Coturnix japonica: one gene and its partners. The protein of the gene in region 2 purifies or fractionates together with the protein of the main gene of each other region. This does not show direct contact. Links are inferred from orthologs where the notes say so. Each region holds a gene or a part of one and is shown on either strand. Other genes may lie near its edges.

Region 1 (4,073 bases), about 45 Mb from region 2:
AGAGCATCAGGTTAAAACATGAGTCATACATCTCACTTGTTATGTCTGCATGTCATACTTTCTCTCCAATATCTTTGCTTCCTACTAGATGGTCTGCTCTTCTCATTTCACAATACTCAGAAAATTTGGAATGCTAAATAAGAATTGCCCTTTAAAATTTGCTTTTGGAATAGATTTTTCTTCCCACCCTTTCCTCCCCTCTTCCCTTGTACCCACATACACAGATAACATCCTAAGTTCTCAGAAATGTTGGAGCTGCAAAGAAGGTGCCCAGAGAACATAGCTGTGCTTTCCAACTGTGTCAGTTAGCAATGTGCATTTTCCTCATCAGGATCTCAGAGCAGCTCTAGAAAATATACTGTAATTTTGTTTCTAGGAATTACTTGTGTGAGTAAGTTCTCAATGGCAGAGCAGGTCAGTGATTCCATGCTTAGCTCTCAGAGGCAACTTTTAGATCACAGACAAATCATCATTTATAATAATCATTCAATATAATTATGGTTTTCTGTTTTGGCATGGCTTATAATATCTTTAGGCATATTTCATAAACAGAGGTAATGGTTTAAATTAAGTGAAAACTCATTAATCCCAGTTATTCTACATTTGATGAATATCATTACTACTGCAAGGATTCAAATATCACTGCAGTGATGCCACCTAGAAGGCAAAATGTTTTTTCCATTTAGTATCATCTTTTACAACTGATGTTGTGCATATATATATATATGTATATGTATAGGTTTTAATCCTGTGTTGTTTATGTATATATTTAGAATATGTTGTCTTCTAGACCTTGAAGTTCACAGTTTGAACCCAGGAAATAAGACCACAGCATCGATCATATTACTGAAGTGTAACCAAAGTCATCATATAAAGCTACTTCAATTCATTTTCTTTAATAAAATGCATATATTTTGAAGTGTGTCAGCCTTGGATGTGGGTTTAAGAAATCATTGAAGGCAAAGTATGGTCCCAAATTATAAATGCTAACATTCGGGTAATCCAGTGTAACGTTTGCTATCTGCTGGCCTCAGAAGCACCTTTTGGAACTACATGTTAAGGGCGGGGAAAGGATGGGAGCAAAGCAAAACAGATCCCATCCCTTTCTTTGTTCTCATTAAGCTGTGAAGGCAGGAGGATTCAGCAGGCACCAAGAGGCGCTCTGGATTTCATTTGAGACAATTCCAGCCGGAGACTTCCCCTGCTCAAGGGATGCGTACCCGCTCGGGGTAACACCGTGATTCCCTCCGCTTGGGCACGGAGTGGCTGGGCTGGAGCACGGATGCTGTCGGTCCCACCTGCGGGGCGGGGCGCTGCTGCGGCAGCCCGATGCCGGGGGAAGCTGGCGCCGCCACCGCTGGGGAGAAGGGATCCTCGCTGACGTCAAATCATCAGAATGATCGCTCGTTCATATCCGGGTCCCCGAACGGCTTCCCCAGGCCGCGCTCGGCCGCCGAGCACTGAGGGATAGGCGGGCAGGGCAGGGCAGGGCAGGGCAGGGCCGCCGCCCACCCATCCGGAGGTGGATGGCGGCAGCGAGGCGTCGTGCATAGAATGCCCGCCACCTCAGCGGAGCCCGCCTGCTGCCGCTGCCCATGGAGATCGCGCTGGTGACTCTGGAGAACGGCGGTGGCGGGGCCATCCCGGCCGGCGAGGATGCCACGGCCGGTAACGCCGGCGGTAGCAGCAGGGCTCGGAGACGGCGCGATCTACGCCACACCGCGGGATCCCCGTCTGTTCCGAGACTGAGCGACGGCAAGGAGGGAACCCCACCGGCATCACCGCCGCCGCAGGTCGAAGAGGAGCGGGAGGGGCCCCCGCTTGCCCCTCCAGGAGGCGGCGGGAGGCGCCGCAGCAGCAGCGAGGGCGGCATCAGCGGCCGGGCGGCGTCGGGACCCCAACCGCAACCAAACGCACCGTGCCCCGGGCCGGCTTCGGAAATGGATCCCCCGGAGGAAGGGGGTCACCGCCGGGGCATGGCCATGGCAGCAGGCAGCGAGGAGGAGGAGATGAAGGCAGCGAGCCGGGGTGCAATGCATCATCAGAGGGTGCTAATCAATATCTCTGGGCTGCACTTTGAGACTCAGCTGGGCACCCTCAACCAGTTTCCTGACACACTGTTGGGTGATCCAGCAAAGCGAGGCAGATACTTTGACCCTCTCAGAAATGAATACTTCTTTGATAGGAACCGGCCCAGCTTTGATGGCATCCTGTACTATTACCAGTCTGGGGGCAAGCTCCGCCGGCCTATCAATGTCTCCATTGATGTCTTTGCTGATGAGATCCGCTTCTACCAGCTGGGGAAGGAGGCCATGGAGCGCTTCCGGGAGGATGAGGGTTTCATCAGAGAAGAGGACAAGCCCCTTCCCCACAACGAGTTTCAGCGCCAGGTCTGGCTCATCTTTGAGTACCCTGAGAGTTCCAGCTCAGCCCGGGCCATCGCCATTGTCTCCGTCTTGGTCATCCTTATCTCCATCATCATCTTCTGCCTGGAGACTCTGCCTGAATTCAGGGATGAACGAGAGATACCCATGTTCTTGCCCCCGCAAAGTGGAGGTTTGAATGCCACAGCTGGAGACTCCTCACCCATGCAGTCACTGAGTAGCCTCTCTGACCCATTCTTCATCATTGAGACCACTTGTGTCATCTGGTTCACCTTTGAGCTCCTTGTGCGTTTCTTCACCTGCCCCAGCAAGCCAGAGTTCTCCCGCAACATCATGAACATCATTGACATCGTGGCCATTATCCCCTACTTCATCACGCTGGGCACAGAATTGGCCAATGAACAACAGCAGCCTGGAGGTAGCAGCAGCAATGGGAGTGGAGGCCAGCAACAAGCCATGTCCTTGGCCATCCTCCGAGTCATCCGCTTGGTGCGGGTCTTCCGGATCTTCAAGCTGTCCCGGCACTCCAAGGGGCTGCAGATCCTGGGGCAGACCCTCAAGGCCAGCATGCGGGAGCTGGGTTTGCTCATCTTCTTCCTCTTCATCGGCGTCATCCTCTTCTCCAGCGCTGTCTACTTTGCTGAGGCTGATGACCCTGAGTCTCATTTCTCCAGCATCCCTGATGCTTTCTGGTGGGCTGTGGTGACCATGACCACTGTGGGCTATGGGGACATGCGACCTGTTTCTGTGGGGGGCAAGATCGTGGGGTCCTTGTGTGCCATTGCTGGTGTGCTCACCATTGCCCTGCCTGTCCCTGTTATTGTGTCCAACTTCAACTACTTCTACCACCGAGAGACTGACCATGAAGAGCAAGCTATGCTCAAAGAAGAACACAGTAGTGCTCAGGACAGTGTAACTGGGGTAGATGGAAAGAGAAGATGCAGTAAAAGCTCTCTGGACAAATCTGTTGTGCACTTGGAAAATAATGAAGAGTTCAAAAGCAGTGCCAGCCCTTTAAAGAAAACCAATATCAAAGCTAAAAGTAACGTAGATCTCAGAAAATCACTATATGCCCTCTGTCTGGATAGCAGCAGGGAAACAGACCTGTGAGGAAAGGAGAGAATTGTAGTTAGAGATGCAGCAGAATTTGCTGGTGTCAGAAACTTACTACTATATTATTTTCCTACCAATTTTGTTGTTTTTTTGGTTTGTTTGTTTGTTAGGTTTTTAAATCAGACTATATTTTGTAATTTGATCACTGTCCTGAGCAGTCCTCCGGGAATAAATGTTTTTATGTTCTTTTTCCATGACACAAATGGTCACCTGTTTTTAAAATAGATTCAGTAAACTATTCTCCGTGATGCAGGAGCTGGTAAATTATGAAAATACAAAATCTAATTTTTAGAAACTTTTATTAGCAAATGATGGTTGGTTTGAAATGGTCATTTGTAATCAATACATTTTCTGCAGATTATTAAAGAGCTGGGGGACATGTGCAGAGAATGAGTGAGTTTTGGAGTGTGAGAGAACAATGAGAGTTTTCAGTTTCAAACTGAAAATATTCTAATTTATTTTGTGTCTACATCAATATATTTATCGATGAAATGGGATTTCCTATTACTGAGACATTCCACTCCATTAAAGCACTAGGAATACTGGCAGATCAGCACTTCTAGAGTTTTCCACTTG
Region 2 (3,500 bases):
GTACAGAAAAAAAAAATCTATAATAGTACACTCTCCATTATGTACATAGAAAAACATAAAACTATATCCATACCAGTGTCTGTTTTTAATGCAAACAATAGTAGTTAATAGCTTTGTAACTTTTTGTGCACCTTTTCCCCTCTTCCCTCCCTCTCTTCCTCCCTCCCGGCCCCATTAAAAAAAATGCAGCATTTCCTAAAGTTTTCAATGCTTTGGCAGAAATGCAACTGAAGGCACTCCCGTGTTAAGCAAAGCAGTAGGTGAAATATCAGCGCTAGATAAAAAAGCTGCAGGTGTACCAGACAGCTCCGTGCTCAATTCCAAGGGCCAAGCCCTGTTCTCTTGGAGGTCAAAGACTGGTTTGCAGTAGATGCCAACCAGAGCAGGCTCAGGCCTCAGGCTGGTTACAATAAAGCAGATCAGCCTCACAACTCTTTTTACAAAAGCTTCATGCAAACCACATGAGGATACGGGCTGTATCTCTCAACACAGTACTATCATGAGGGCAAAAAGCTCCTGTAGGTCACAGCATCAGAAAGCGTCGCAAGGACTTTGCCTTGTAGGCCTTTAACCTTGCTACATAGGCTAGCTTGACACAACACCCTCCATTTAAGACTTCCTGATGTTGCAGCACAGCTAAAAACAGACTAATCCACAATGTGAAGTTTCTAAACCGTCTCTCATGATGGATTAATTTAGATTCAGCAAAGCGTCAGTTCATCTGAAAATAATGTGTGCTCGCGGCATGCTGACTTCTGCTGATAGGAAAGTTTTTTAAAGCTCATTGGAAAGTTTCCTTTAGAGGCAGCCCCTCCTTGGCATTTTGTGGCTTGTGTTTGGCACACCTTCGTGTTTCTTGTAACTCAGGGTTATCTCTGGCATGCTTTTATATGAATACTCTGGAAAAAAAATAAATGAAGCCCACGAGATAAACACCTAAAACAGCTAAAGGATGTGTCATAAGTCACAGTCAGGAAAACGTTTCCATAATGACCAGTTTTAGTTTTCAACTTCACTTTTCTTCTACAATTTAGTGAAGGTTGAGCTACAACTGGCTGCAAACTTCCAAGTAAGAATGAGATACAAAGGCACTAACAGAAGCCTTTTTATGGATGAGCAAAGCTTTCACATGTCAGTGTCTCCAACCTGATGAAATGTTAGTTTTTCAGGACATTCATTAATTAAGTAAATTGTTTACTTATCCAATGTATTCATAGTACATCACACCTGACCATGATTGCAAATCGCTGTAGTCAACTGACTACACAATTGAAAAAGAACATTCTGCTAAAACCTGCCAGCTTGTCATGTTTATTCTGCTGCAGCAGCTCTACACTCTTTGGCCACAATAAAATGAATGGCATTACAGCGTTGGAAAGCTTTTTTGTCATTCTTTGGTAACTCTGTGGATTTATCTTACAAGGAATGAACAGTGAGACAAAAAGGCATCCAACAACATTTCAGACTCTGAATTGAACAGCCAGCAAAATGATATGCAGCTGTCATGGAGGAATAGCTATTTAAGGTTAGTTTGAAATACAGACTGAAAAGAGAAAACACAATAGGCAAGTAGTCCAGTATGAATACATAGTAAAAAAGGATATTGAGCAAGTGATTTTTTGTTTTGGGCCAGTATATCCACCAGTTGCTGTATGTTGCTTTGGGAAACGTGAAACTGGCACCAAAACACCCCAAACAACACAAATCTCCCACCCCTTCTCCAGGCTTTTTGAAATGTCCCTCAAATGTCTTTCTGTACTGTGGCTCGGATGCTGCTGAACACCTTGCCCATAGCCTCAAACAGTGGGTCGCAGAATGTGTGGATGCAGATAGAATAGACACGGCTAATGCACTGGATCTCAATCAGGTAGCTCCTGATGCACGGCACCACCGCCCAGATGTGCAGGAATGACAAGATAGCAAAGTAGATGCCCCAGATGAGTGCCATGGGAATGCCAAAGATTGCTGACAGCAAGCGATAAAACCAGTATTTTGTTACAGTGAAAGTGGTAAAACTGGCCTTCCAAATCCCATCAAAGCTGTGTGTTCCTTCTGGCTCAGCAATCACATCTTCAAAATCAATCTGCAGCAAAGAACACAAAAATCAGGTCAGTCAAACATCCTCATCAAGTGTGGAGCCCAGAAAGCCCCTTCCTCAAAAGCAATGATCGCCTGTAACAAACATTGAAGCTTCTTACATCCCAATATGAATTAACCCATTTTAAAATATCACCTAAGCCATGAGCAAGACTTGTCTTTTTTTTTTTCCCCACTGACTATAGGTGATACTTAATGATTAGCTCAATGATACACATCTAACTTTTAGATGGAGAAGAGCTATCCAAAGAACTGAATATTTTGTCCTCCTCTCCTGCAGCCTTAAGGGTAAGGAATGCCCTTAATTCTACTTAAGACATGAAAAGGTGATAGAAACATTGTATTTTCATTGTCTAGCTTTTCACCATCTCACATCTTTATAAATGGAACAAGTGCAGACACTGCTTTGACATTTAACACATCAATAAAATGTGTTTTATTTGTTTGACTTTTTCCACCTTCCCTTATATAGTATTGCTGAATTTTGACAGTGAACAAATGTTGAGGGCATCTAAATATACTTTGAAATAGGCATAGATAGCTGTTGATTGGCTGAAAAACAAAGTGCTGGATTTAGAACTGCCTAAGATGGAACTTATCTTTATTGTAAAAGAGTGAGGGAGTCTTTCAATTTTATTAAGCGTAAGAAGGCTTTTCACACGAGAGCCATTTTGTTCTAACCTGCTCTGTTTACGTGATAACACTGTTAGTGGAAGACATAGTCAGGATAACGTGTTAATATTTAGAAGGAACACACTCTTCCACATATTTTATAGTTTTGAATATTATTCATAAACTGTTCACAGAGTCATCTAAGGAAGCAGTACATTCCAGCATGCATATTTTACCATTCTCTGTTGAAATATTGAGCTTTTCAGGAAGCCTAATTGTCATAACATTTCTATTAGAAAATTAACAGAATTACTATGATAGTTCAGCTCCATGTCACACAAATGTGTTTGATATAACCCACCATACAGGATATTTAATTTAGGCAGCGCAACAGATTGCATAGGTGCTGCATACAACAGGAAAAAGAACGCCATCAAATTATATCTCTCTAAGAAATGAAATGGTTGTTTAACTTAGATGGAAGAAAAAAAGAAAATGCATTCCTGGGACTGAATCCCAGTGTCCAATGATACTGCTGCCATAAGGGAAGATATGGGCCAGAGGTCTCAGAAAGTCAGGCAACAGGTCCTTAGCACGCTGGAAGGACATGAATGTGAATATACTCAGTGTATCACCTATGCTGTAGGAAAAGGCTCAAAAAAAGCTCGATTAAAATACAGACTGAAGTTGACAAAAAACCTTCTCCCTTTCTCTCATTGAGTCTTCACGTGAATTCAACTGAGTTCTTTGTTAGGGAGCTGTTGGAGAGGGTCCAGAGGAGGGCTACAAAG
Region 3 (3,996 bases), on a different chromosome or scaffold from region 2:
CATCAGAACCAATTGTAAAACTTGTCAGCAAAGATGACATAGGATACTAAAAAAAAAAAAATCAGGTTTTAAGAGACAGATTATAAGCAAGGGTGTAAAAGCTTAATAAAAATGTAACAACCAAGTGTCTGTAACACAACTCAGACACATCAGATACTTCAGCCCTGCCTTCACAGCTCTGTCATAAAGCTGGAAATGTGAACTTTTTTCCTGGGCTCATGACTACCCCGGAGACTTCCCCGAAGTTAAGCTGAACAGCTTTCCACTTTCCATACAGCTGATAGCACCCTTTTAAATTCACTTCAGAAAACTCAAACAGATTGTGATATTGCCACTAAAACAGAGATCCAGGGAGGGGAAGGCTGCCTGTTTTCTTTTTCTGTCTAGTAATAAACAACTTCAAGAAAGATTATTTTTTTGCCTGTTCGTAACACCCTCATAGCTACAACTCCTGGCAGTAGCTGAGCACACTTACAAGAACACAAGAGTCAAGCAAGTACCATTGATATGAAACTGCCTCTGCCCCGTGCCTCAGCACAGACCAGGTTTTACAAGAAGGCATCGTGGAAACGCACGCTTGCCTTATCCTGAAATCATCTGTGACAAAACACATTTACGTCCTCCTATTTAAAGCAATTTTCACAATTACTACCTGGAAAAAAAGGCTGAAGTGCCTATAAAGAACTGGAATTTCTGCCAAATTCCGACACGTCAACAGAAAAAAATACAAACAAAATAGACAACAGAAACCAATGACTACTCTCCAAGTTTCCAATAATCAATGTGTTGTATACCTGGCACCCATAATCCAGAAGAAGCTGTAGTATGTCCAAATTTTCATTTTCAATCGTTATGGTAACAGCATTTCTTCCAAGCACATCCACACAATTTATGTTCATCTCACCAGAGCTGTTTTCTTCTAAGAGTTTCTTAACCATGTAATAATCACCTGCATGAACAATGTATGAATATATCTCAGCGTTCTTATTGTAAAAGCACGTTAACATGTTGAAGTACCAGCTACAGTCCATCACAACTGACAATACAGCGAGTACGTCAGGCATCTAAGAAGAGAGATAAGAATTCTCCCTCCAGATGGAAAACTGAAGACATACTAAGAGTTCTCCTTCAGGGAAGCACTAAGACATTTAATGCCTCCCTTAATTCCAGTCTTGAAAACAAGCACATATAACACACAAAAGCACAGGTACTTTTCAAAACTGAGGCAGCACCGCATATATAACCTCTGAGATGCTGGAAACATCAGCTCCATCAAAGAAGGCTACTTGGTGCAGAAGAACCGCAGCATCGGAGCAGCCCTCTATACAGCACCACATACACACCTGCTTCTCTTGAGTACAAGCCATGTTGGCATTTCCTATTTATTTCCATCTTTAACGTACCAATCACGAAAGTCAGGGTGATGTGATGCTGCAGTGTTACAAAAATCAAGCTAACAAGTTTGATGAGCAAGTAAAACTAACCGTATTGTGTAGACATCTGCACTTTCCAACTTGCCTGAAATACAGACGCAGCAGTACTGACATTACGTATTATTTTGTTTAACTGCTTGCTGCCAAGGAAGTTTTATTTTTGCCTCTAACAAGCTATTTCACGGCACAGAGGACCATGACGAAGACAGATCTTGCTGTACAACCCTCACAGAACATTCAGATACAGCCTGTAACAGTACTAAACCCGCAGTTAGACACATCAGAATGGTTGTTTTTCTTTTATTATTTTAAAGATCTTTTCGTTGCTGTTTTATCGTGCATCCTTTAGCTCTCTGAGCCTGTTTACACTTTGAGAGCGTGCTGCCTGGCTCTAGTCTCCAGGACAGGCTCCACCAGCAGCAGGGCTGTGGGCAGTGTGTCCATCTGACAGCAAGGCACTGACCTCCCATTGAGCACCCCAGCTTCACAGGCCGCCAGTTGCCTCTGAACCGCTGCCCAGCACCAACCCAACAGACAGCAGTGGGCAGGGCTGCACATCAACACATTGACTGCTACATAGAAACACAGAACCATTCATCACCTGATCAACAACCTGACTTGGGGTCCAATGCTTTTAAAGTGCCAAGAACCGTTTGATTTAAGACAATCTTTAAACAAGGTACATAAACACGTGCTTAAACTAAGCAAGCATCAGATTTTAGACAGGAAAAATCCACCCACAACCATAGGTGCCATTCAGTGCCCGAGGCATTCCACTGACGCCCAGGTAAGTCGCCCATTGGAAAGGAACTTTAAAAGCGACCTGAGCAAACGTTAACTGACTGGTGTCACAACACAAACCCCGTGGCACACTGACCCATCGCACACCGACACAGAACGCCGCTGCAAGGAGAACGTTCATCCCCTGCCCCGCCCGAAGCGCGGCCGCTGCCTGCGGGCAGAGAACAGCTCAGGCCTCGGAGCAAGAGGCCGAGCCCCCCGTTCCCGAGGCCGCATCAAGGGGCTCCGTACCTTTGTCACAGGCCAGCAGGAAAAGCTTCTCGTCAAGCGTGGTCTCTTCCTTCACCTGCCGTACATCCTTCAGCGCCAGCAGCTTGTTGGGCGAGGCCGAGGCGGACGGGTCCGCGCTCTGGTACAGAGCCGCCATAGCGCCGGCTCCGCCAGGCCCATGAGCGCGCGGGCGGGGCGAGGCCGCGCAGCAGGAGGACCCCGGCAGCCCCGGGGGGAGCGGGGCGGCAGCACCCGGCACTGCCGGCACAGGGCAGGGCAGGGCAGGGCAGGGCAGGGCAGGGCAGGGCGGCCGCTCCCCGCTGCACTGCGCAGGATCCAATGGCGGCCTCGCCTCTCCGGGCGGTAGCGGGGAGGAGCACGCCGCAGGGCTGTGGCTGCTGCAGCGCCGCGTCCTCCCGCAGCGCCGTGCGCCTCCGCGGTTTAGCGTCACCCCTACAAAACGGCTTTTGTAGGGGACCGCGGTCAGCCTGTGCTTTCAGGCCCGGCTGGAGCCTGATGGCGCGGGCCTCAGAGGCAGGAGCACAGAGTCAAGGGCCTGACTGCGCTGTACCTGCACGCACACGGAGCAGTGACATGTTTTTATCAGTTAACGCTTAGGGGAGTACTTCTAGACATCACAGGCATTAATTCTTCCTTTTTACGTTACAATTACATGCCTTCATATTTGCCATTTAAAGACAACTAATTCTGTATGTTGATAACTTGCAGCCCTAGCTCCTGTTTCTGTGGTTTAGTGCAGGTGGTCATGATACACGAGGCCTTATCCCCAAATTCTTCCCCTCAAGCTGCTGGCAGTCATCCTGAGCTGACCCCACTGGCACAGCCTCATTCGCTTTAGTGAGCTATAAGGATGGATGCTATGGAGAAGCTGTGGTGCCCTGAAAATCCATTTCTATTTTATCAAAATATGCTTGAACAGATTGTAAACATAATTCCCATTGATTTTCTAAAATACACACATGCAAGCCCTTAGCTCTCTGAGACACTGAGTATCCCCTTACATAACAGAAATCAAATGGATGTAACTTCTTTCTTTTAATATGTTATGCAAGATAACAGAAGCTTGCTACAACTGCTCACATTATCATGCTTGGATCTTGCCACACTTACTGTTTCTAGAAGCAGAGAGAGAAAAAGTGGCTCCATATCTTTAAAAAAGAAACATCTATTTGTATTTAGTTTTTCCTTTCTTACTGTTCAGCTTCTGGTAAGAATTAAAAATCCAGAGCCTTTGGTGTAAAATTATGGCTGCACAGAAAGGTACAAATATTTGCTTTAAGATCAATACGAAATCTCACCCAGACAATGATACAAAGCCTCTCTCTATATATGCCATATACTCCAGTAAAAATCAAAGGAACAACCTGTAAGGACCCCTTCTGGACAGGCCAGGCTTTTATTTTTCACTTTTACAATATTTTACAATTAAAAAAAAATCTCACGTGCAGTTCAACTGAAATAGGTAACATATGTGCAGATCTAACAACATGATCACATTTCTGCCCACTAGGCTTTTTTCCTCAGGACACAG

Evidence for each region.
Region 1: the proteins of CAV1 (region 2) and potassium voltage-gated channel subfamily A member 5-like purify together in Homo sapiens (affinity purification with western blotting, with the first as the bait; 3 studies listed by BioGRID). This does not show direct contact. The link is inferred for Coturnix japonica from reciprocal best matches to the Homo sapiens genes CAV1 and KCNA5.
Region 3: the proteins of CAV1 (region 2) and TRPC1 purify together in Homo sapiens (affinity purification with western blotting; 3 studies listed by BioGRID and IntAct, with this or other methods). This does not show direct contact. The link is inferred for Coturnix japonica from reciprocal best matches to the Homo sapiens genes CAV1 and TRPC1.

What each region holds. Positions count from the first base shown.
Region 1 is NC_029516.1:67,515,118-67,519,190, forward strand, and holds the start of potassium voltage-gated channel subfamily A member 5-like, read left to right. Parts: upstream 1-1,273; 5' UTR 1,274-1,595; coding exon 1,596-3,494; 3' UTR 3,495-4,073. UniProt on the Homo sapiens protein: Voltage-gated potassium channel that mediates transmembrane potassium transport in excitable membranes. Forms tetrameric potassium-selective channels through which potassium ions pass in accordance with their electrochemical gradient.
Region 2 is NC_029516.1:22,486,348-22,489,847, forward strand, and holds part of CAV1 (caveolin-1), read right to left. Parts: intron 2,084-3,500; coding exon 1,742-2,083; 3' UTR 1-1,741. UniProt on the Homo sapiens protein: May act as a scaffolding protein within caveolar membranes. Forms a stable heterooligomeric complex with CAV2 that targets to lipid rafts and drives caveolae formation. Mediates the recruitment of CAVIN proteins (CAVIN1/2/3/4) to the caveolae.
Region 3 is NC_029524.1:8,921,060-8,925,055, reverse strand, and holds the start of TRPC1 (short transient receptor potential channel 1), read right to left. Parts: upstream 2,801-3,996; 5' UTR 2,602-2,800; coding exon 2,466-2,601; intron 950-2,465; coding exon 795-949; intron 1-794. UniProt on the Homo sapiens protein: Forms a receptor-activated non-selective calcium permeant cation channel. Forms a heteromeric ion channel with TRPC4 or TRPC5 that has reduced calcium permeability compared to the homomeric TRPC4 or TRPC5 channel.